3 linked regions of the Macaca mulatta genome follow. The protein of the gene in region 1 interacts with the protein of each later gene in a biochemical or structural test. Links are inferred from orthologs where the notes say so. Each region holds a gene or a part of one and is shown in the gene's direction. Other genes may lie near its edges.

What was found.
Region 2: the proteins of UBC (region 1) and STAM form a complex in vitro, tested with the Homo sapiens proteins (13 studies listed by BioGRID and IntAct, with this or other methods). The link is inferred for Macaca mulatta from reciprocal best matches to the Homo sapiens genes UBC and STAM.
Region 3: the proteins of UBC (region 1) and USP37 form a complex in vitro, tested with the Homo sapiens proteins (6 studies listed by BioGRID, with this or other methods). The link is inferred for Macaca mulatta from reciprocal best matches to the Homo sapiens genes UBC and USP37.

The regions. Positions count from the first base shown.
Region 1 is NC_133416.1:132,361,862-132,365,379, reverse strand, and holds UBC (polyubiquitin-C), read left to right. Parts: upstream 1-971; coding exon 972-2,801; 3' UTR 2,802-2,869; downstream 2,870-3,518.
Region 2 is NC_133414.1:19,215,104-19,218,852, forward strand, and holds the start of STAM (signal transducing adapter molecule 1), read left to right. Parts: upstream 1-1,060; 5' UTR 1,061-1,167; coding exon 1,168-1,207; intron 1,208-3,749. UniProt on the Homo sapiens protein: Involved in intracellular signal transduction mediated by cytokines and growth factors. Upon IL-2 and GM-CSL stimulation, it plays a role in signaling leading to DNA synthesis and MYC induction. May also play a role in T-cell development.
Region 3 is NC_133417.1:123,803,875-123,807,623, reverse strand, and holds the start of USP37 (ubiquitin carboxyl-terminal hydrolase 37), read left to right. Parts: upstream 1-1,221; 5' UTR 1,222-1,534; intron 1,535-3,749. Other genes in the region: CNOT9 (CCR4-NOT transcription complex subunit 9), read right to left, coding at 574-597. UniProt on the Homo sapiens protein: Deubiquitinase that plays a role in different processes including cell cycle regulation, DNA replication or DNA damage response.

The DNA.
Region 1 (3,518 bases):
TGCGGAGGAATTTCCTTGGGGCGGTGAACGCCGATGACTATATAAGGACGCGCCGGGTGTGGCGCAGCTAGTTCCGTCGCAGCCGGGAGTGGGATCGCAGTTCTTGTTTGTGTGTCGGTGTCATCGCCACTTGGTGAGCAGAGGGCTGCTGGGCCGGCCATGGCTTTCGTGGCCGCTGGGCCGCTCGGTGGGATGGAGGGGGGCCGACGCCGCGGGATGAGAGGCCGCCGAGGGCTGTAGTCTGGGTCCGCGAGCAAGGTGCCCCTGAGCAGCGGGTGGGAGGGGAGCGCAGCAAAATGGCGGCTGTTCCCGGCTCTTGAATGGAAGACGGTTGTGAGGCGGGCTGTGAGGTTGTTGAAACAAGGTGGGGGGCATGGTTTGCGGCAAGAACCCAAGGCCTTGAGGTTTTCGCTAATGCGGGAACGCTCTTATTCTGGTGAGGTGGGCTGGGGCACCATTTGGGGACCTTGATGTGAAGTCTGTCACTGACCGGAGAACTCGCTTTGTCGTCTGTTGCGGGGGCGGCAGTTAATGGCGGTGCCACTTGGCAGTGCACCCGTAGCTTGAGGAGCGCGCGCCCTCGCAGTGTCGTGACGTCATCCGTTCTGTTGGCTCATAATGTGGGGTGGGGCCACCTGCCGGTAGGTGTGCAGTAGGCTTTTCTTCGTCGCAGGACGCAGGGTTGGGGCCTAGGGTAGGCCCTCCTGAGTCGACAGGGGCCTGACCTCTGGTGAGGGGAGGGATAAGTGAGGCGTCAGTTTCTTTGGTCAGTTCTATGTTCCTATTTTCTTAAGTAGCTGAAGTCTGAGTTTTAAACTATGCGTTCGGGGTTGGCGAGTGTATTTTGTGAAGTTTCTTAGGTATCTTTTAAATTGTAATCATTTGGGTGAATATAACATATAGTTTAAGTATTAGGAAGATTAGTACATTGTCTGCTAAATGGTGGTGGTTTTTGGCTCTTTTGTTAGACAATGCAGATCTTCGTGAAGACCCTGACTGGCAAGACCATCACCCTTGAGGTTGAGCCCAGTGACACCATTGAGAATGTCAAGGCAAAGATCCAAGATAAGGAAGGCATTCCTCCCGACCAGCAGAGGCTGATCTTTGCCGGAAAGCAGCTGGAAGATGGGCGCACCCTGTCTGACTACAACATCCAGAAAGAGTCCACCCTGCACCTCGTGCTCCGCCTCAGAGGTGGGATGCAGATCTTCGTGAAGACCCTGACTGGCAAGACCATCACCCTCGAGGTCGAGCCCAGTGACACCATCGAGAACGTCAAAGCAAAGATCCAAGACAAGGAAGGCATCCCTCCTGACCAGCAGAGGTTGATCTTTGCCGGGAAACAGCTGGAAGATGGACGCACCCTGTCTGACTACAACATCCAGAAAGAGTCTACCCTGCACCTGGTGCTCCGCCTCAGAGGTGGGATGCAGATCTTCGTGAAGACCCTCACTGGCAAGACCATCACCCTCGAGGTGGAGCCCAGTGACACCATCGAGAATGTCAAGGCAAAGATCCAGGACAAGGAAGGCATTCCTCCTGACCAGCAGAGGTTGATCTTTGCCGGAAAGCAGCTGGAAGATGGGCGCACCCTGTCTGACTACAACATCCAGAAAGAGTCCACCCTGCACCTGGTGCTCCGTCTCAGAGGTGGGATGCAGATCTTCGTGAAGACCCTCACTGGCAAGACCATCACCCTTGAGGTGGAGCCCAGTGACACTATTGAAAATGTCAAGGCAAAGATCCAGGACAAGGAGGGCATCCCTCCTGACCAGCAGAGGTTGATCTTTGCTGGAAAGCAGCTGGAAGATGGGCGCACCCTGTCTGACTACAACATCCAGAAAGAGTCCACCCTGCACCTCGTGCTCCGTCTCAGAGGTGGGATGCAGATCTTCGTGAAGACCCTGACTGGCAAGACCATCACCCTCGAGGTGGAGCCCAGTGACACTATTGAAAATGTCAAGGCAAAGATCCAGGACAAGGAGGGCATCCCTCCTGACCAGCAGAGGTTGATCTTTGCTGGAAAGCAGCTGGAAGATGGGCGCACCCTGTCTGACTACAACATCCAGAAAGAGTCCACCCTGCACCTCGTGCTCCGTCTCAGAGGTGGGATGCAGATCTTCGTGAAGACCCTGACTGGCAAGACCATCACCCTCGAGGTGGAGCCCAGCGACACCATTGAGAATGTCAAGGCAAAGATCCAGGATAAGGAAGGCATCCCTCCTGACCAGCAGAGGTTGATCTTTGCTGGGAAACAGCTGGAAGATGGACGCACCCTGTCTGACTACAACATCCAGAAAGAGTCCACCCTGCACCTGGTGCTCCGCCTCAGAGGTGGGATGCAGATCTTCGTGAAGACCCTCACTGGCAAGACCATCACCCTTGAGGTGGAGCCCAGCGACACCATTGAGAATGTCAAGGCAAAGATCCAGGACAAGGAAGGCATCCCTCCTGACCAGCAGAGGTTGATCTTTGCTGGGAAACAGCTGGAAGATGGGCGCACCCTGTCTGACTACAACATCCAGAAAGAGTCCACCCTGCACCTGGTGCTCCGCCTCAGAGGTGGGATGCAGATCTTCGTGAAGACCCTCACTGGCAAGACCATCACCCTTGAGGTGGAGCCCAGCGACACCATTGAGAATGTCAAGGCAAAGATCCAGGACAAGGAAGGCATCCCTCCTGACCAGCAGAGGTTGATCTTTGCTGGGAAACAGCTGGAAGATGGACGCACCCTGTCTGACTACAACATCCAGAAAGAGTCCACTCTGCACTTGGTCCTGCGCTTGAGGGGGGGTGTCTAAGTTTCCCCTTTTAAGGTTTCAACAAATTTCATTGCACTTTTCTTTCAATAAAGTTGTTGCATTCCCAACTGGTGTGGTTTTTTAAAAGTTAAGGTTATTTTGCATTAGACTGGGTGAAGGGGATCAAGGTTTTCAGTTTACAAATGTTGCTGTGGTAACAGTGAAATGTCAGTGAAGGGGTTGACCTTAATATAGTACGAACTGTAGAAGGTGGGTGCAAATAAAAGCCGGCTTCAAGACCAGATTGGCCAATGTGGTGAAACCCTATGTCTACTGCAAATACAAAAAGGCAGGTGTGAGTGTCTGTGATTCCAGCTACATGGGAGGGTGAAGGAGAATCCCTTGAACCAATTAAGCGGAGGTTGCTGTGATCTGAGTGCCACTGTCCTCCCGCTGGGGGAACAGCAAGACAAAAAAGTTGTTGGGAGATGGAAGTATTTTACATATGTAGATTTAACTCTTAAGTTAACTTTAAAAATACTGGTTTGTGGGTGATGTGTGAGGTAAGAGAATGGGAGAATTACCGGAACACCAGGAAGAAGGAATTTTAAAAGGTGGGAGTGGTGGGAGGGTAACTATGAAAGGATGCTTCAAGTACATAGGTCTGTATAAATGCGCATTGAGCTGCGTAGACAGTCATGGGATCAAATTTTAAGAGGATGTGGTAGGTAAAGGATTAAAAGGCATAGCCACCAAGGTGTAGAAAAGGAATTGGTT
Region 2 (3,749 bases), on another chromosome or scaffold:
TATTAATCCTGTGTTGACATGTCAGTATTAGTTTCCATGGTACATTTGGAGGTGCCGTAATTTGGGGGATAATTTCCATAATTTCAATTTACGTACAAGATGAGCTTACTAAGTTTGTTCCAAGTGGTATGCAAAATCTCTAGTGGATCCTCCTTAAAACTTCTCCATGACACAGAGAATAATTTTTATTGGTTAATTAAACTCAAAAGTAAAATAATTAAATCAACATTTTGGGTTGCTAGGAATCACTCACTGATCAACTTCTAGCTGCAGTTTTTTTGTTTTCTTTTTTTGCTCAGTCTAGGGAGGCTATCTTGGGCTGTGAAAGACATGTCACCAACCATCACAGCTGCTGAGTGACTGCACGGTTAGTCAGTAGGTGCCAACGCCCTACTAGCAGAGCTGTCTGCAGATTCCGAAGCCCGGCGTTCAGGGACTCCCGGGAAGGAGTCAGCGTTACCTCAGCCTCTCCGAGGGAGCCTCGCGCCCTGAACACTCCCCTCTTGGGATTCAGGTCAATCCGTTCAGCTCCCATGACTTCATCCGAGCAAATTTGTCACCTCACGCAGCGAATTAAACTGTTTACCTAGAATATGATCCAAAAGAATTTGCATTTCCTTCCAGAAGGAATACAAGGTTATGATAACCGAGAGAGCGAGAGGAAAAAAGGGGCACGCCTCTACCCAAACTCAACCTGTTTTCTTTCTCCTGGGTCTCCCAGTCACTCCGGGGGTTGTTAGTAGGCTTCAGCACGCCTGAAGGACCCCGTCTTCCGGAGACTCCTAGCTAAGGGAAAAGCAGGAAACACAAGAACTAATCCCACTCTTCTGTGTGACTAATTAAAAGAGGAGTCAGGCAGAGGGGACTACCTGTTCAGCCTTTACTGATGGGGCAGGCTCGGGGCACCTTTGGGACAGGCAGTGCCGAGGTCGCCCAGATTCCCGACAAGCTCCGCGCGGGGGCTTTCTCGGCTCAGTGCTGTTGCCGCCGCCACCGCCGCTGCTGGGGTGGTTGCTGGGGTTGGGTGAGAGGGAGGAGCTGTCGCGGACCCTGTAGAGTCAGTCTCTGTTGCTGTTTTTGCCTGAGGAGTCTTCCTTCCTACGTCGAGCCCTGACTCCCGTGCTGTCGAGGGGGGAGTCCCCGCGGACACCTCGGCACGCAGTGGAGATGCCTCTCTTTGCCACCAATCCCTTCGATCAGGATGTTGGTAAGTGTTTTTGCTGCTCCCTGCCCATTCCTCACCGGACTGCACGCTCACTCTGCCAGCCCCTTGCTGCATTCAGGACCCTCGGACCAGGGCCGAGGAAGAGCTCGCTCTTCCCGTTTCCTGAGGTTCCCTCCTTCAGAGCTGGGAGGAGGTTGAGGACTTGGCGCATCCTCTTGAAAGAAATGGGACTCATCCTGTGAAATGGGCCTTGAGCTAGGACTGTAGGTTGCCAAAGAACTGCTGAAGGGGTTGGTGTAAAGGGCCTGGGAGGAGCAGCTGGTGTAGCATCTGGTGCAGGGACTGTGCTTCTGGACGAACAGCGAAGGGCTTAAGGCGTATGTCGGCTAGATTAGGATGGTAAACCCTATACCAAAAGTGCTTGCCTAGACAAATAAATGTTGAGCGTCTGGAACTGGCAGAATGTTTTAGGTAAGGTTCCTTAGAGGATTTTAAAATCTTTTTGCAACGGTAACTGAAGGAGGGAGCTCTGGTTAAGGTTAGACTCAAAAATGTTGCGAGCGATGAAGATGAAATACTTGGCAATAGCTGAAACCGAATTGAGGACCTGCGCCTTCGGGATGTCTCTCTTAGGCTAGGTCTCTGCCCTTAAAAAAGTGTAAAGAAGTGTGGAAGAAGTTGTTGAATCTGGAAAGAGTTTGAAGTGCTACATTTTTGTTGTTTTCTGAATCACTGGTTTTAGGTACTGATTATGTCAGTTCAATAGGTTTGCTTTTTGTTTATTTTTTATTTTATTTTATTTTTTTCCGGCTTGAAGATAATAATTATGGGAATTTGAGTTTCCGGGGAGAGAATTTTGGTTTAATATGAACGCACGTAGGAACTACCTTGGCACACAAGTGCGGAATGAAAGCCAAATACCATTTCCAAATCCCTTATGGCAGAATGTAATGATTACTGTGAATAAGGACCACCTTATGAAGTTAATTTATACGTCTGTGTGTATTTTAATTATGAAAGATGGATGTTGAATTTTGCTTTTTTAACTCTTCCTTAGAGCATGTCACTGAAACTTGGAGGTTTATATAAGACTAGAAAAAAGGTTCATCCTTACCTCTGCCACTTCTCAGCTCACAGTGAAATCATAGGCAAGTTACATTCTTTGAGTTCCAGTGTTCTTGTCTTCAAAGAGGGGAAAATACATCATTCCATTCTGCGGTTAAATGATATGTGTAGAGGGCCTGCTACAGTACCTTTATGTGATAGGCACTTACTAGATGCTACCTTTTTTTTTCCAGCTTAAATGAGTGTCCTGAATCTTAGCAGTGGACAGAACCTTGGAGATCACCGATTATACTTAATGAATTGGAAAATTGCATTTAACTTAATAAGCAGTTAGCACACACTACAGGACACAGTGGCTCAGTGACATAAGAGATACGGTGATGAGCAAGGCCTAGTTGCTGCTCTCAAGCAGTTTTACATCTCAGTACATGAATCTCTAGGGGAAGTACTTAAAACAGCTTCTTAGTACTTGTTTCTTCTGTTTACAGTACCTTTGTCTAGTTTTCTTGGTCCTGTATAATTTAGCTAGCAACTACCCAATCACCTTTGTATTCTACTGACTTTGTGAACACGTATTTGCATTGGATTCAGGTAAATTTCTTAATGTCAAACCTGTTCCTAGTACCTGTACCACCCAGTTCAAACACAGTCACCTTCTTGCTTTTATGCTTTTGCCCTGTGCTTACGCTTTCTTTTCTCTTTCAACATATCCTTATGTGTTAAGGCCAACTCAGAATCCAACTTGTTATACCTGAATCGTTTCCTGATTGCTGTAGCAAAGGGTTTCTCAGTAGCAACGTTATTGACAGTTTGGACCAGATAAATATCTTTGTCATAGGGGTTTGTCCTGTGCAATGTAGGGTGTTCAGCCTTATCCCTGGCCTTTATCCACTAGATGCCAGTGACACCCAGCCCCCAGTCATGATTTTAGAAGTCTCAGGACATTGCTACATGCCCCCTGGAGGGACAAAATACCTCCTAGTTGAGAACCACTGCACTAGTCCACTCTTAATTTCCACCTTCTTACAAAATCCTCTAACTTATTTTAGCATTTTTGTCTTTACCAAATTACTTAGCATTAAAGATATGTACTGTATTTTCCTACTTAATGAGTGGTTGCTACATAGAAGGTGTTTAATAAACGTTTGTTGAGTTGAGAATGTGTCAGTTGAGCCTGCCAGATAGTACACTTCTTCAATGTAGCAACATTGTTTTGCTCCAGAAAAGCTTACTTTTAAAAGTTGCTCAAGTTTTGGTATTGGACCAATTCTCTTCTCACAGTCCGTGTATTGAAATATTCCAAAAGGTTTATCTGAGAAGACCCCTCAGAGATTCCCAATACATAATCCTTGCGCAGATTCCAGTAGACTCCTATATTATTTTTAAATAGTATATAGAATACAGTGTATAAAATACACTAACCATTTTTTCTTTCACTATGTCATAACCAATGAGTATGTCATAACATTAAAGTAACTCATTTGATACAATTATTTATCACTTAACGCTTGTATACATT
Region 3 (3,749 bases), on another chromosome or scaffold:
ACTTCAGACAGCTGAATTACACTTTCTTTTCCGTTAAAAAATCACGCGGGTAAAACGAGATGTGTCGAGGAAAGTTTTAAACGCAGAGAACCTAAGTCAGATGCAAAAATTACGCACTTCTTCGGGCCTCAGGTTTTCCATAAGTAAAGCAAGTGGTTTGAACTAGAAGCCATTTCCTTCCCGCTGCGACGCGGTGAGTTCTGAGAGCGCGAGCCGCGTCAGATTGACCATGGAATTCCCCTCATCGACGCCGGCGCCCAGAACACAACTGGCGCCCTGAAACTGTTGGTCAGCTCAAAAAATCAATGAATGGCCTGCTACGGGCGCGGGACCAGGCCCTGGCGCCCGCAAAGAACGCGATGGGTCGCGCTGGAGGCCGCGAGATGCGTCCGGCGAGGAAATACAGGCCGGCTCCACCACAACCAAAGCGTGCCGAGGAGGGGAATCGGGGCCTCGTAGGTTGAGTACAGAAAAAATCAGACTAGGGACCCGACACCGGGAACTAGGAGAGAAGGCCGAAACGTGGGTCTGAGGAAGGATTCTGGTTCCAGGCCTGGGGACCCAGCCACTCACCGCAGCCGTCGCCAGGCTGTGCATGTTGTGAGCGGCCGCCGCTCTCCTTCCACAGCCGGACGCGTCTGACCCGCGTCCCCGCTTCAGCACCCCTGCCGCGGAAAATAATGAGCCGCCGTAGCCGCCATCCGCCTCCGGCTCGCTCCGCCCCCTTCGCGGCCCTCTGACCTCTCACCCCTGACCCCACCCACACATCCTCTTCCCGCCTCCAGGCCCTCGGCCTAGTTAACAGTCCCAGAGTATGGCCTTTGCCCCTTAAGATTTAGGATCGGAAGGACGTCCACGACCACTAGTCCCCGCAACTCCTGGCTTTCAGCAGATTTTTCCAGAGAGCGGCATGAACTCTGACCCTCCTCCAAAGGCCAGTGAACGGCGGGAAAGGATGGACAGTCCCGGGAAGACAACTATTGCGCATGCCCGACTGGGCTGTGTAGGAGGGAAATGGTTGGGGGGGGTTCGAAATCGGGTGAAGCGGAAAGTGCGCGTGCGTACTACAGTCACGGCTGGGGCGGGGCTGCCCGGGCTAGGCCGCTCTAGGTGCTGGGGGGCGGGGCGAGGGCGTGTGAGGGGCGGAGTTTTTGGCTGGCGCGCACGCGCCTGTCTGGTCGCGTAGAATGTGCGTGCGTGCGTGCGTGTTTGCGTGTGGTCACAGTTCCCGCCATCAGCCGCTCTCCCTGACTAGGGGTAGCTAGCGGCCTCCCTCCTTTGGGTTTGGTATCCCTACTTCCATTACCCCCGGCTCCTCCTTCTCCGCGCGGGCTCCGTGCTTTCCGCGGGTCTGTCTGGGGGCTCCGGACCTTCGGCGCAGGTAAGGCGGGCCGGGGTAGCTTCTCAATTGAGCCGTTTTCCCTAGCACCCCCTCCCTCTGTGCGATCCGCCCACTCGGCGTTCACTCTTCTGGAGTTCGCCCTGCTGCTACTGAGCCCGCCCACAACCCCTCGACGCACCCCCAGCCTCACAGGTACTACCTTTGGGTGCATTGCCCCGGCTTTCCCCTCTCGTTTGACTTGGTCTCCACTGCCACTCTCTCCCTCCGAAACTCAAACCTGCCCCCTTTTCTCTGGGGCTGTTGTCCGCCACTTACCTTCTAACAGGGCCTGCTGTCTCTTCAGGTGACTTTCGTTACGGCACATCCATCAGGTCTTGGACATGATACTCATTCACTCTCTTGACCATTTTCACCTTCCTCTTGACCAGTCCTCACTGCAAAACATAAATTGTATTTTTGTTGTGCATTTCCTTGCTCCCATTTCTGGCCGCCAGATCAGGTAGTTAGATGTAACTATTTTAAGTCATGATCCATGAAAGGAAATGATGATTGATGACAAAGTCTTGTGTCCTGGAGAGTTGTCCTAAAGTGGTTTTGGGGTAGTCCTCTCAAAATTTCAGCTCTGTATAAATTCCTTTATTGAGGTGGCAATTCCTGACAAGTGTCTAACTGGAAGAGATATCTGAGAGGTAATGTCAAGCAGGCAGTTGGATATAGTGGGTTGGAGATCTTAGGAGAGTTCTGGGCTGGATACGTAAATGTGTGCGGTCTGTTTATGTGTATGTCATCTGCCATATTGATAGTAATTGAAGCCATGGATGTGGATGAAATTGCCTAAAAAGAGTATAGTGCTATAAAATAAAGGCGCCTAGGATGGAGCATTGAGGGATTCCTGATGTTTAATAACCGATAGAGGAGGATGCGTCTTGCAAACCATGAAAGAAGTCATCAGTAGTGTTGCATTCTGCTGAAAGGTAAAATGGAAGGAGGACTGAAAAACCCAGTGATATAAAAGTAATCGCTTGTTTTAAAGATGTTTGATGAAGTAAAATGAATATTTGGGTTCAGTCCTGCGTCCTCTTCTTTTACTCTTGTATTCCTCCCTAAGCTTTAAATTTGATCTATATATTGATGCCTTAAAAATTGTTATTTCCAGCCTATTCCCTTTGTTTTCAGCTCCACATCTAGATAGCCAGCTGTCTGCTTGACATCTCAACTTGATTTTTTTCTTAGGAGTTTCAGATGCAACACAGACAAATCCAAAGCCTTGATCTTTCTCTCCGTATCCAAATTCTTTTTTCTCCAGTGTCCCATTTTATTAAGTGGCATATGACACAGGCTACACACTTGGGAGGCATTCTTGACTTCTACTTTCCAAGTTCTATCTATTCTACTTCCAATATATGTCTTGCATCTTTTTCTGTACATTTTCACTATCACTCTTCTAGTTTAAGCCACAGTCCTTTTTCACCTGGACTTGATTGCCTTGGCTTCCGGTATTATCATCTGTAAAATGGAAATAGTAATTTTCAGCCTATTGGATTGTTATGAGGATTAAATGAGATAACCATGATAAGCACTTGGCACAGAGTAAATGGCCAGTAAGCATTAATTGTTATTGTAATTGTTATAAGCTGATCAACTTCAATACTCTTCTATTTGGTTCCCTTATTTTCTTCTGTTCTTGCTCTTAGTCACTTTCCCAAAACCCAAACCAACCATATATGACTTATCCATTCAGTAGTAACGTATTTATTTGCTTAAAACCTTTTGGTGGATTTCCCCCTGCTAAGTGCTTGTTACATTTAGGATAAAATTCGGAATCCTTACTGTGGTTCACAAGACTGCATAACCTAGTTCTTGCCTGCTTCACTAACTTTACCTTCCTCCTCTCCTTCACTAAACTCTAGCCACATTGATTTTAATTTCCCTAGTCACATCAAGTTATTTTACAATTCAAGGCCTTTAGGGATGCTGTTTGCCTGAATTGTTCCAGCACCACCATCTACCAGTCATCTCCTTCTGCAGTTTTCAACTTAAGTGATATCTTCTCAGAGAAGCCTTCTTGATGTTATCTGTCCTCTACCCCAAGTCTTAATCTTAAGTCTTATCATTCCATGTATCTTGCTTTATATCATTTCTCAGAACTTGTAATTATTGTTATTATTTTTTGAGACGGAGTTTCTGCTCTGTTGCCTAGGCTGGAGTACAATGGCATGATCTCAGCTCACTGCAACCTCTGCCCCCTAAATTCAAGTGATTCTCCTGCCTCAGCCTCCCAAGTACCCGGGATTATAGGCACCTGCCACCACACCCAGCTAATTTTTGTATTTCTAGTAGAGACGAGGTTTCACCATGTTGGCCAGGCTGGTCTTGAACTCTTGACCTCAGGTGATCCACCCGCCTC